Caenorhabditis elegans: one gene and its partner. The protein of the gene in region 1 purifies or fractionates together with the protein of each later gene. This does not show direct contact. Each region holds a gene or a part of one and is shown in the gene's direction. Other genes may lie near its edges.

Region 1 (5,056 bases):
AACTACATTTGAAACCACAAATTGATAAGCCATGATATGACTCTCAACTCAACAAAACCCCTAGTAAAAACCACAATTTTCGTACAAATATTTGTCGATTTCTCGCTAGTTTTTAGTGATCTATTTGCATTGAAATTGAGGCAAAAGGTGAGTAACTGAGAGTTTTTTTTAGTTTGCAAGCAAAAACTTATCTATCATCTTATCAACTTTCCATGAATTTTGAGACCTTACATCACTAGATACGGAACAAAATGAAAAAAAAAATGTTTGAAAAGTATGGATGGTTTGTTCTCTTTTTCTCTTGTCGACATCTCAGTTTCTCATAATATTTCGTCCAGTTTCAGACAAAGTAGCCATTGTTCGAGAGAATGTATCGTCATTGATCTCTTCTGTATCATCTGTTACGAGACAAAATAAGATTGATGATGGAGATAGTATTTCCAAAAGTACTACTGTTGAAATGATTAAACAGAGGTTTTTTTTAGTTTTCACTTGACCTTGATTTAGGTGTCAATACAAAACTTATTATAATATAAAATCGAAATTTTTTACTTCAAAAAAATATAATTTTAGTTCCAAATTTGTCGTGTTGAACGTACAGTCAGCAGATTTAAAATTCTGATCGAAACTTTTTGTTGTCTAAGTATCGAATGTCTGTTGGAAGATGTTCTTCAAAAGTTTTGAACTTAAATTTTAAAGCCATGCCATTGCAGATATTACTGCCAAATTCAAATCTTTTGTTCCTCTCCGTTGATTTTTGTAACAACTCCACTCATGCGCCCAGAGTTTTTCAGTCAATTTTTTTCCGTTTCTTATCATTTCTCCGTATTTTTTAATGGTTTCTCCGTATGAGTTTTGATTTTTTGATTGACTTATTCTTGATGAACCCTCTTTCTCTCACATAACTTTTAATTTTTAATTTTTCAACTTTTCAGTTAAGAACGTCTCATATTCTTTTCCGACTTCATCCTCATCTCTCAATTTCCGAAAGCATTTCCCGTCCGTTTTGCACTCAGTTCCTCTTTTCGCATCGACAATTGGTCTGTCTAGTCTGTGTCTTTTATTTATTCATTGTAACTAAGCATTCTCTAGTTGTCTAAACTACTTTTTCGTCTAATCAACACGCTCTAACTTGATCATTTTTTGAGCGCCGCGGCTCCGAGTCTGACCCCATTTTTCTCATCGTTTTCTCGTTTATATGAACTTTTCAAATTTTATATTTATTGGTTTTGGTTGAAATATGACTAGGACTGATAAAAATAATATTTTTGAAATTTTTAAACATTTCCAAAAACCATTATTATAGACGTTATAACTTTTAAGCAATTTAGGATTGTAAGAAAAATAAAATTTTGATGAGTTGTAACACATTTACCAATTGAACATAATACATGTGTTAATTATAAGATAAATTAAATCATTAGAATTCAAAACAAGTCACCACAAAATATTAAACGTCAAAGCAACAAAATATTATTACGATTTCAAAATTACTAAAAAATAACATAAAATTTTTAGACCAAAATGTAAAGTGTTAGGAAATGTGTTTCGCTTTTGAATAAATTTTAAAATTAGCAATGTGTTAGAAAATCAGAAAAAATTGAAACTTCAAACTGATTAATTTTCTTTGTAAGAACTGCAAACTTGTAAAAACTCATTTTTAAGATGCGTCTAGACGGAACAAGATAAGTTGTTATCATTGCCACGTGTATTGATTCGAAACTTTGACCAAAATATTGAGATAAATATTGATAAGAAAACGTTCTTCAAATTGGACTTTGCCATTCACATGAATAATTTCCTGAATGCCCTTATCAAAACGTTATCATTTTTCACCTCCATCGGCTTATTTTTCATGAAGCACTCACAGACACGCACTCAAACAGCTTCTTTTCAATTTTTCGTCGAATTTTCCTCTTTCATTCGTCGTTTCGACCGACATTTTATTTTATTTTTTTAGAAGTCTCTCCCATCTGAAACTTGGGTTCCCGCAATCCGGTGAGCTCCAGCACAATGCCGTCAACTCGTTGTGCTCATCAGATGAGCACAAAGAAGAAAGCGGAGAGAGTGGATAATATGATTGCATTCCTCAAATCGGCAGTTCAGGCACAAAAAGAAAAAGGAGCACAAGCTGAGCAGGCACCGGGAAATGCAATGGTACGGGAACATTCTCTCTTCACAAAAAAACGACCTTTGACCTAGAACAGTTTACAGCTGACACAGACAATTGTTATCAGTGCACACAATTTAATAGCAATCATCAAAGATCCAAATTAATCGATCAAAGAACATTTTGACTAGGAAGAAACTAGGAATTGAATAACTTTTTATTAATGTGCAATTACAGAAGTTTTGATTAAAACAGGCTCTCTATGAAAATTTTCAATTGAAATTTAAATAAGAGTTTAGGAAAAAACTTTAGATTTTGTTGAAAATTGTCAAAAGCAACTTCAAATCCTGGGCATTGATATTGGTTGTACAATTGTGCTTTTTTTTCAACAAATATGACGTATATTCAGCATGTTTCTTGTGTGACCAAACTCTAAAAATGTTTAATCAGTACTGTATTAGTCACATGTGAACTTTAATAATTCCCATAAAGCATTGTGATATCATAGGCCTGAATTATCAATTCACAGATGACATCAAAACTTCTGGAAATATGGTCAGTTCCTCAATCAACAATCACTGAAATGCGCCTTCTTCTGACTTTGGGAGCTGATCCAACACCACTTTTCAAGGATGATTTTGGAGAGAAAACACTGGCAGATCGGATTGACAATGGGAGTGTTTGTGAAGAATGCGCTGTGAAATTTAAATCATTCCTCGAGTTTTCTGGAGTCATTTTTGAGGAGATGTACGAGAGAACACCCATTCAAATAAATCGATCAAAAAAGGTTGATGGAGTTATGGCATTGTGTCTTGATGGTGGAGGAATGAGGGGATTGGTTTCAGGTTAGAATTCTTAAATTCTTATAAATTTCCTATTTAATATAACTTCAGTGGTATGCCTTCTATATGCCTCTCGAAGGCTTCTTGGTGATGAAACACTTCCGAATCTTTTTGATTGGTTTATTGGAACATCAACAGGAAGTATGCTAGCTCTCTCAATGGTCAATAAGATATCAATAAGTGAATGTTTTTTCCAATACTGGGATATGAAAAGTCAAATTTTTCTTCGTGGAAGTACTGTAAAACGACTGCTTGGAGATCAAGTAGCTGTTCAAACTAAGAATATCGATAAAGTATTGGGAGATTGCTTCCCAACTCAAACTCTCCAAGAATGCCCAACTCGTCTCACTATCCCTGCATTGGACATAAGCACAGCTCCAGCAAGACTTCATGTCTTCAGAAATTATTCATTCACAAAACCATTTGGAGCACCGTTGAATGAGGATCAAGATGTTTTATTCAGAGAAGCTGCAAGAGCAAGCAGTGCTGCTCCAACATATTTTGAACCTTTCATATATGGAAACAAAGTGTTGGTTGATGGAAGTTTTGTTGCCAATTATCCACTGAATGTATTATTCAAAGAATATGATAGTTTCTCGAAACATCAACAACCGATCCATCTTGCCGGTGTTCTTTCAATTGGAACTGGTGAACCAGCACTCGCAGAAAGAAAATATAAAAGTGGGAAGAGTATAAGAGCAAAGGCAATGAATATTGGACATCTTTCAACTCTTATTTTGGAACAAGTAGTTGGTCAAGATTTGACAGCTGTAGAGATGGCGCAGGATAGATGTCATGCTCACAATATTCCATTCAATCGATTGAGTCCGAAGGGAATTTCAGTTCGGATTGATCAAATTGATGATTCAAAATTGATGGATATGATATGGACAACACTTATTTATTTGGTAAGTCTTCAAGTTTAATTCCAACTTCCATTTTCAAATTTTCAGACCGAAAACGTCCATGAGATCGACCAACTTGGTGAAATGATCTACAAATTGAAATCGGATCCAACAGAGCGGAAGCGTAGAAGCAATACGGTTCTCTAAATTGAAAAATACAGAAATTGTTTCATTTGAATTTATTCATATTTTGTTTTATTCTAGTCATTCCCACCATCTCTGTCAATGCATGTAAATTAGAAGATTAACACTTTTATTGTGAATAGTTGTTTTATTTCCGTTTCAAGCTGAATACTTTTCTGGCGCATTTTCAATAATTTATAATCATTTTTTGATTTTCTGCGACGTCTAGATGACTTTCCAGTTCCCATTTAAAAACGGGCATTCTCTTCCCAAAAAAGGCACACTTTGCTCCTCTCATTTTATTCGTTTCTAGTCTCATCTTTCACTGAAAATTCATCTAAAGTTTTCTCGGGTTCTTATATCAGTTCCCTTAACACTGTCCACTCATCCTTTCCCATCCCATTTTTATCACTTTTTTTCGTCAGAAACTCGATGTGATTTATTTGGTTTTCCTTGTGTTCCTCCCTGTGAAAATTTAATTTTTCGTTTTTGTGTATTTGTTCCTTGATGAAATATAATTATGCTGATTTTGAAGAAATATTTAAAAAAAAACAATTATTATCTCTTGACTTAGAGTTTAAAGCGAACAGTATGAAAGATTCTAAACAGCTAATTAAAAACATTAATTTTTTGTCATCTGCTAAATTTCCTAATGAGACTTCTCGATCGGGTCGAGATAGATTGCCTTTGAATTTTTTTTTAAACTTTCCCAACACATTTAGGGTTTCATTTACATAGAGCTTCATGCAAGACATGATAAAACTATAGGTAAATGTACTCTTAAAATGTACTCTTAAAAAAATTAAAATAATTCACTGCCAAATTTATTTTTCATGACTTTTTGTTCCATTTTTAATTTCTTATCTCTTGAACTGATCAATTTACATCAAAATAAGCAAAAATCGATTAGTTTCAAATTCAATCAAGAAAGAGTACATTAACTTTCTTCATAATTTACACCGATTCGAAGTAAGTTTGGACACGTTTTCAGAAATCGTTTACTGTAGTTTGCATGCGACGTTCTAGGGTGTTGTGAACAGCCTGGATTGCAATGCCCGAGTTGTTCGCTGGTAAGC
Region 2 (4,829 bases), 810 kb from region 1:
GAGAAGATTCTCAATCGTGCAGCTGCTGCTCCGACTCTTTCTCCACCTGCAGACACTACTATCACTACATTGTACATTGGAAATCTGGGTCCGTCTGGAGCTCAGCAAGTTACCGAAAAAGATTTGAATGATTTCTTTTATCAATATGGAGATATTCGTTGTCTTCGTGTGCTAACAGAGAAAGGATGTGCATTTATTGAGTTTACAACTCGTGAAGCTGCCGAACGTGCAGCTGAAAGATCATTCAACAAGACTTTTATCAAAGGAAAAAGATTGACGATTAGATGGGGAGAACCACAGGCCAAGAGAGCAGCAGATAACTCAAATTATGTTACTCCAGTACCATCAGTACCGATTTGTAAGTTTCTTTTCAATTTCAACAATAGAAACATAATTTTGAACAGATTATTTGCAATCAAAATGCGCCAGTTTGGCATGTTCTCCCAATCTTTTTCATTAAAACTTATTGAATAAATATAGAAAATCAATGACGTTCCAATAATTTTTGAGCACTTCTTTAATTGTTCAACTAAAATAAAAGCTATTCTCAGCAATAATATCATCAAAAAATTGCTCAGAAACTCGAAACACTAAAAGCGAAATTTTTTTTGATTTTACTAAAAATCGAAAATCGATAGAAATTCTTAGAAATTTTACCATAGAATATATTTTTTTAAATCAAATTTTGTTTATGTTAATGAAAACATGTAAATTTCTTCTAATAAGAAGAACAGTTACCGAAATTTTAAGCTATTCTTCGAAATATCAACAAAAAAAACGAAATGGTCGATTTTAGAAAAAAAAATCGAAAAACCGACACCCTTGATTCAGAGATTAAGAAAATATTGTTCTATTTATGTATATTCGATCACATAATTTACTTGAAAAATATTTGGAAAACATGCTACACTGGCATATTTTGTAGAATTGCTGGTCGGCACTGAATCTTTTTGAAACCTCTCGTTGTGACAAATTTTGATGTGAATTCTCTTCAAGGGAACAATTTTTAATCGCATCGTTTTCCACACACCAAAAATTGTTTCTAAAAGAAGATTTTTTCAACCAATCCTAAAGAGAAAAATGTTTCTTTATTTCGTTTTCTATTGTTGGCAGTTAGGTTAGGTGTCATGTTTCAAAAGCGGATTGGCGCCAGTCTTCCAACAATCATTATTTCCACATTCCCATGTTTCCCTTCCATGTACATTTTCTTAAATATTTTAATTTTCAGTGCCAGTGCCAGATGGTCTCGCCCCTTCAACATCATCACAACAAAGATTCACAGGATCAATGCCACGTCCACCAGCGCCACCAACTTTCGCTGCGCCAAGAAGTCTTGTTGTACCAAATGTACGGCCAGTGAAGGCTGGAGGTCAGTTTTATTTTTTTGAAGACGAATATTAGTATTAAAATATTTTCCAGAATCAAGCGGTGCGTCATCATCATCATCGATTTATTATCCGAGTCAAGATCCAACCCGTCTTGGCGCCAAGGGTGACGTTATTGAGTAAATTTTCAATTAGTTTATCACTTTCCTTTTCATTCTGTCCTCGTTCTGTAATTTTTCTTTCCATTTTTATTGTGTTTTGTTCAAACTTTAAAAAGAATCTTCCGTTCTTTTCTGAAAAAACTCCCTAATTATTCTTCTTCGGTCTCATGTTCGTTCTTACAATAAACATTTTTCGAACTTTCTAATTCTGATATTATCATTTTATTGGACTGGTCAAATCCATTTTTTCCTATTTTCATGTTGTCAAAGAACTTTCCTGAAATTTCAGAAAATCTTTTCAGATGGCCTTACTAAATATACAGGCAGTATCACCTCAAATGGATGCAAATTTCAATGCGAAAATTTTGAATTTTAGAATGATTGATGAAGGAAAGTATACGGTAAGTGTTGTCACTATAATTCAGAAAAAAAACGATGAAAATAAAACCCAGAGGCGAAATTTCGCGATTTTTTCGTCAAAATTACTGTACCCGGTCTCAACACGACAAATCTTGTTAAATTCGAAAAGGTGTGCGTCTTTAATGAATACCGTAATTTCGAACTCGTCTCAGCGGAATTTTCCATTTTCTTCTCTCAATTTGTCAAAATTTACATGTTTACTATTGTTATATTTGAGTATATGTTTTTTATTGAAAAAAAAAACTACGAAACATCGATAAACATTTTGCAGAAACAAACGTTTTTCCAAAAAAAATCGCAAAAATTCGCTGGGTAATAAGAATGATTTAGAATCCGAAAATAAAAAATTTGATGGTTTCTTAATTTGAAAAAAATGATGAGAAAACTGTCATAAAGCTAAGTTTGGTATCTAATTTTTGAACAACTATAATTTAAAAGTTTCATTAAAATCAAATAATCCCACAAGTTCCATAAAAGTACATTGAAACTTTTTGCAATTGAGTAATTTTCAGGTATATCGTATCCAAATCACAGTTGACACCTACACTTGGACCGTTGAACGACGTTATAGTGATTTTGACGCTTACGATGTACATCGATTTCTAGATCGAAAGAAATCATTTCTTCCTCCAAAGAAACGACTGGGAAACAAGGATCTCGAATTTATCGAAGAACGACGACTTGAATTGGAGAAGTATGTTCGAGCTCTTTTGGAATTAGAAGTTTGGTATCAAAAGCAGAAGAATGTGCATTCGCTTCCGTTGATTACAGCGAAGTTTTTCGATTTTCATCAATATGTAAGTTTTGCAGAAAATATCAAAATTTATTTGAACTGAGACCAAGGTGTTTCCAATAGAAAAAAATGTGGCAGAGAAAGAGGATAGGCGAATAAAGAAGAAATAGTGAAACTTATATACATCTAACTGACTGAGGTAAACTTTATGAAAGCATTGGGATAGGATATTGAAAATGAGCAAAGTGGCTCATTTTCAATTAGACAGGCAACTATTATTATTATTATTCATGCTCTTCTTCTTCATGATTGTGAATAGCTGCTGAAAGCTCATTTCTACTCAAAGCTGCACGTCGTTTCATTCTCCAGTATTGAAGACGTGTCCAAAGTTCACGAAGAGCGATGTAGATCATAGCAATATTCTTGACCGCAAACAGTGATGGATCAAACTTCTTTCCGTGTTGTTGAACTTCAAGCACAATGTACAGGTAGATACGGAGTCCGAGGAAAGGCCCATTGACAATGAGAACGTAGAGGAATGCCCAGAGCTTCTCACTTACGAGCAGGAATCGTGGAACTTTAGCGTAACGAAGTTTGGCGAGAGCGAAGGTTGGCATGAAGAAGTTGATACAGGCAACAATCAGGATTGTCAGTTCGAGCCATAGTTCTAGATTCCATTTGTCCTTCTGAAAAAAAGTAAATGAATTAGATACTAGGTAGTTTGTAGTTCGACTTACCGATGCTTGCCAAAGCAAGTCTAGGAAGTAGATATTATCGATAAGATCGAGGCAAATGGCAGCAACAAGATATGAGATGTACACTTGACGAACAGAAACCAATGGGGTATAGTGATGTGACTCGAAGATGAACAAGAAAATCAAAACGGACAGAGAAAGCCCAGCTTTGAACAGGAAGTCGTCGAAAAGTTTGTCATTGTTGTCAAGCGGCGTTGGAGGAATGTCCTCGTAGAACATGCGGAAGCACGTGGCAATTTTTGAGATCAGAATAAGGGAGTACGCTCCCCAGGCGAAGCAAGCGTATTTAACCCGACTGTCTGAAATATTTCATTAATTATCAGAGATCTTGAACTTTTTGAAAGTGTCAATCTAGTTGAATACAATAGTTCAAATAGATTAGAATACTGAAGAAACTCTTACAAACATTTGAACTTACCAATTGAACAGCACTCCTCCATTTGAACTGTATTGTATTTGATAGCCAATACTCCAAGTACTCCTAGTATCAGTAGAACCACAAAGTCTGGTCCAATCCAAGCGGCCCACACATTTTCTCCAGTGACATTCAAATAGTACCAATCTATCAATCCAAACTGTAGAACTACTAAAGCAAGACTAATTATTAATGCAAATGAATCAAGAAAGGCTCGCACACAGCGGCCAGGAAGAACTGCCATTGCTGAATTTGTAGTCTTCGATTGTGAGATTAGAGCAGCAGTCTGCTCCGGTGGTACTTTAATTGGGAATTCTTCTGCTCCTTCGTAGTACTCGAAATGAGCGATTCGTTCGTCTCCGTTTTCTTCAATTGATTCTTCAGTAATATGTCGTGGATCTCTGCCGGACTCCAAGCGAGTATTTTCTGTAACAGGACATGATTGAGAGGGTGACGGTTGCGGAAACCATGGATTTTGAAGGGGATCTTCCGAAGGTTTTGGTGACTCAATATGATGATAGCGAATTGATGAATCGACACCGGGAAAGAGCAAGTGTGCCATTTGGTGAGAAAAGAAGAAAGAAAGGAAGGAGTTTTGAAAAGAGCGAAGACTGTTTGCATTGCACGGATGCGACTTCCCATGGGCATTTTTCCTCTATTTTTCAAACTGTTTTCGGAACGGAAAAAAGGAAAAGAAAGGTCGTCCGAGAAATCGAGATAGTCTGGTTTAAGAGGATTACTAAAGGCAAGGATAGGGCTGGATCGGTGATCGTTAAAAAAACCCAGTGGACAGGAAGAATACAATAGAATGGCAAGATGAATAAAAAGAAAACAGAGAAAGAAAATAAATCTTGTAGTAGAGAATGTTCGAATTTGGTCCTACTTTGGATTCAAATGAAGTACTACAAATCCAGTTCATATCCGAACTTCAAGTTCTACATTTGAGGAATTATTTAGATGTTCAATCTAAAGACCTTCTTAACTACGTTCTGACAAAACGAATCAAGTAGTGAGCATTTT

What was found. Proteins that work in one complex are often made in the same cells at the same time.
Region 2: the proteins of ipla-7 (region 1) and nish-1 fractionate together in Caenorhabditis elegans (co-fractionation; one large-scale study listed by BioGRID). This does not show direct contact.

What each region holds. Positions count from the first base shown.
Region 1 is NC_003282.8:10,056,083-10,061,138, reverse strand, and holds ipla-7 (PNPLA domain-containing protein), read left to right. Parts: upstream 1-1,960; 5' UTR 1,961-2,013; coding exon 2,014-2,157; intron 2,158-2,639; coding exon 2,640-2,955; intron 2,956-3,003; coding exon 3,004-3,860; intron 3,861-3,905; coding exon 3,906-4,004; 3' UTR 4,005-4,548; downstream 4,549-5,056.
Region 2 is NC_003282.8:10,862,543-10,867,371, forward strand, and holds the start of nish-1 (PX domain-containing protein), read left to right. Parts: upstream 1-1,788; coding exon 1,789-1,887; intron 1,888-2,418; coding exon 2,419-2,703; intron 2,704-2,715; exon of another isoform or gene 2,716-2,923; coding exon of another isoform or gene 2,924-3,325; intron 3,326-3,376; coding exon of another isoform or gene 3,377-3,693; intron 3,694-3,812; coding exon of another isoform or gene 3,813-4,235; intron 4,236-4,829. Other genes in the region: rbm-22 (Pre-mRNA-splicing factor RBM22), read left to right, coding at 1-358, 1,229-1,369, 1,420-1,508; F13E9.11 (uncharacterized protein), read right to left, coding at 2,924-3,325, 3,377-3,693, 3,813-4,235.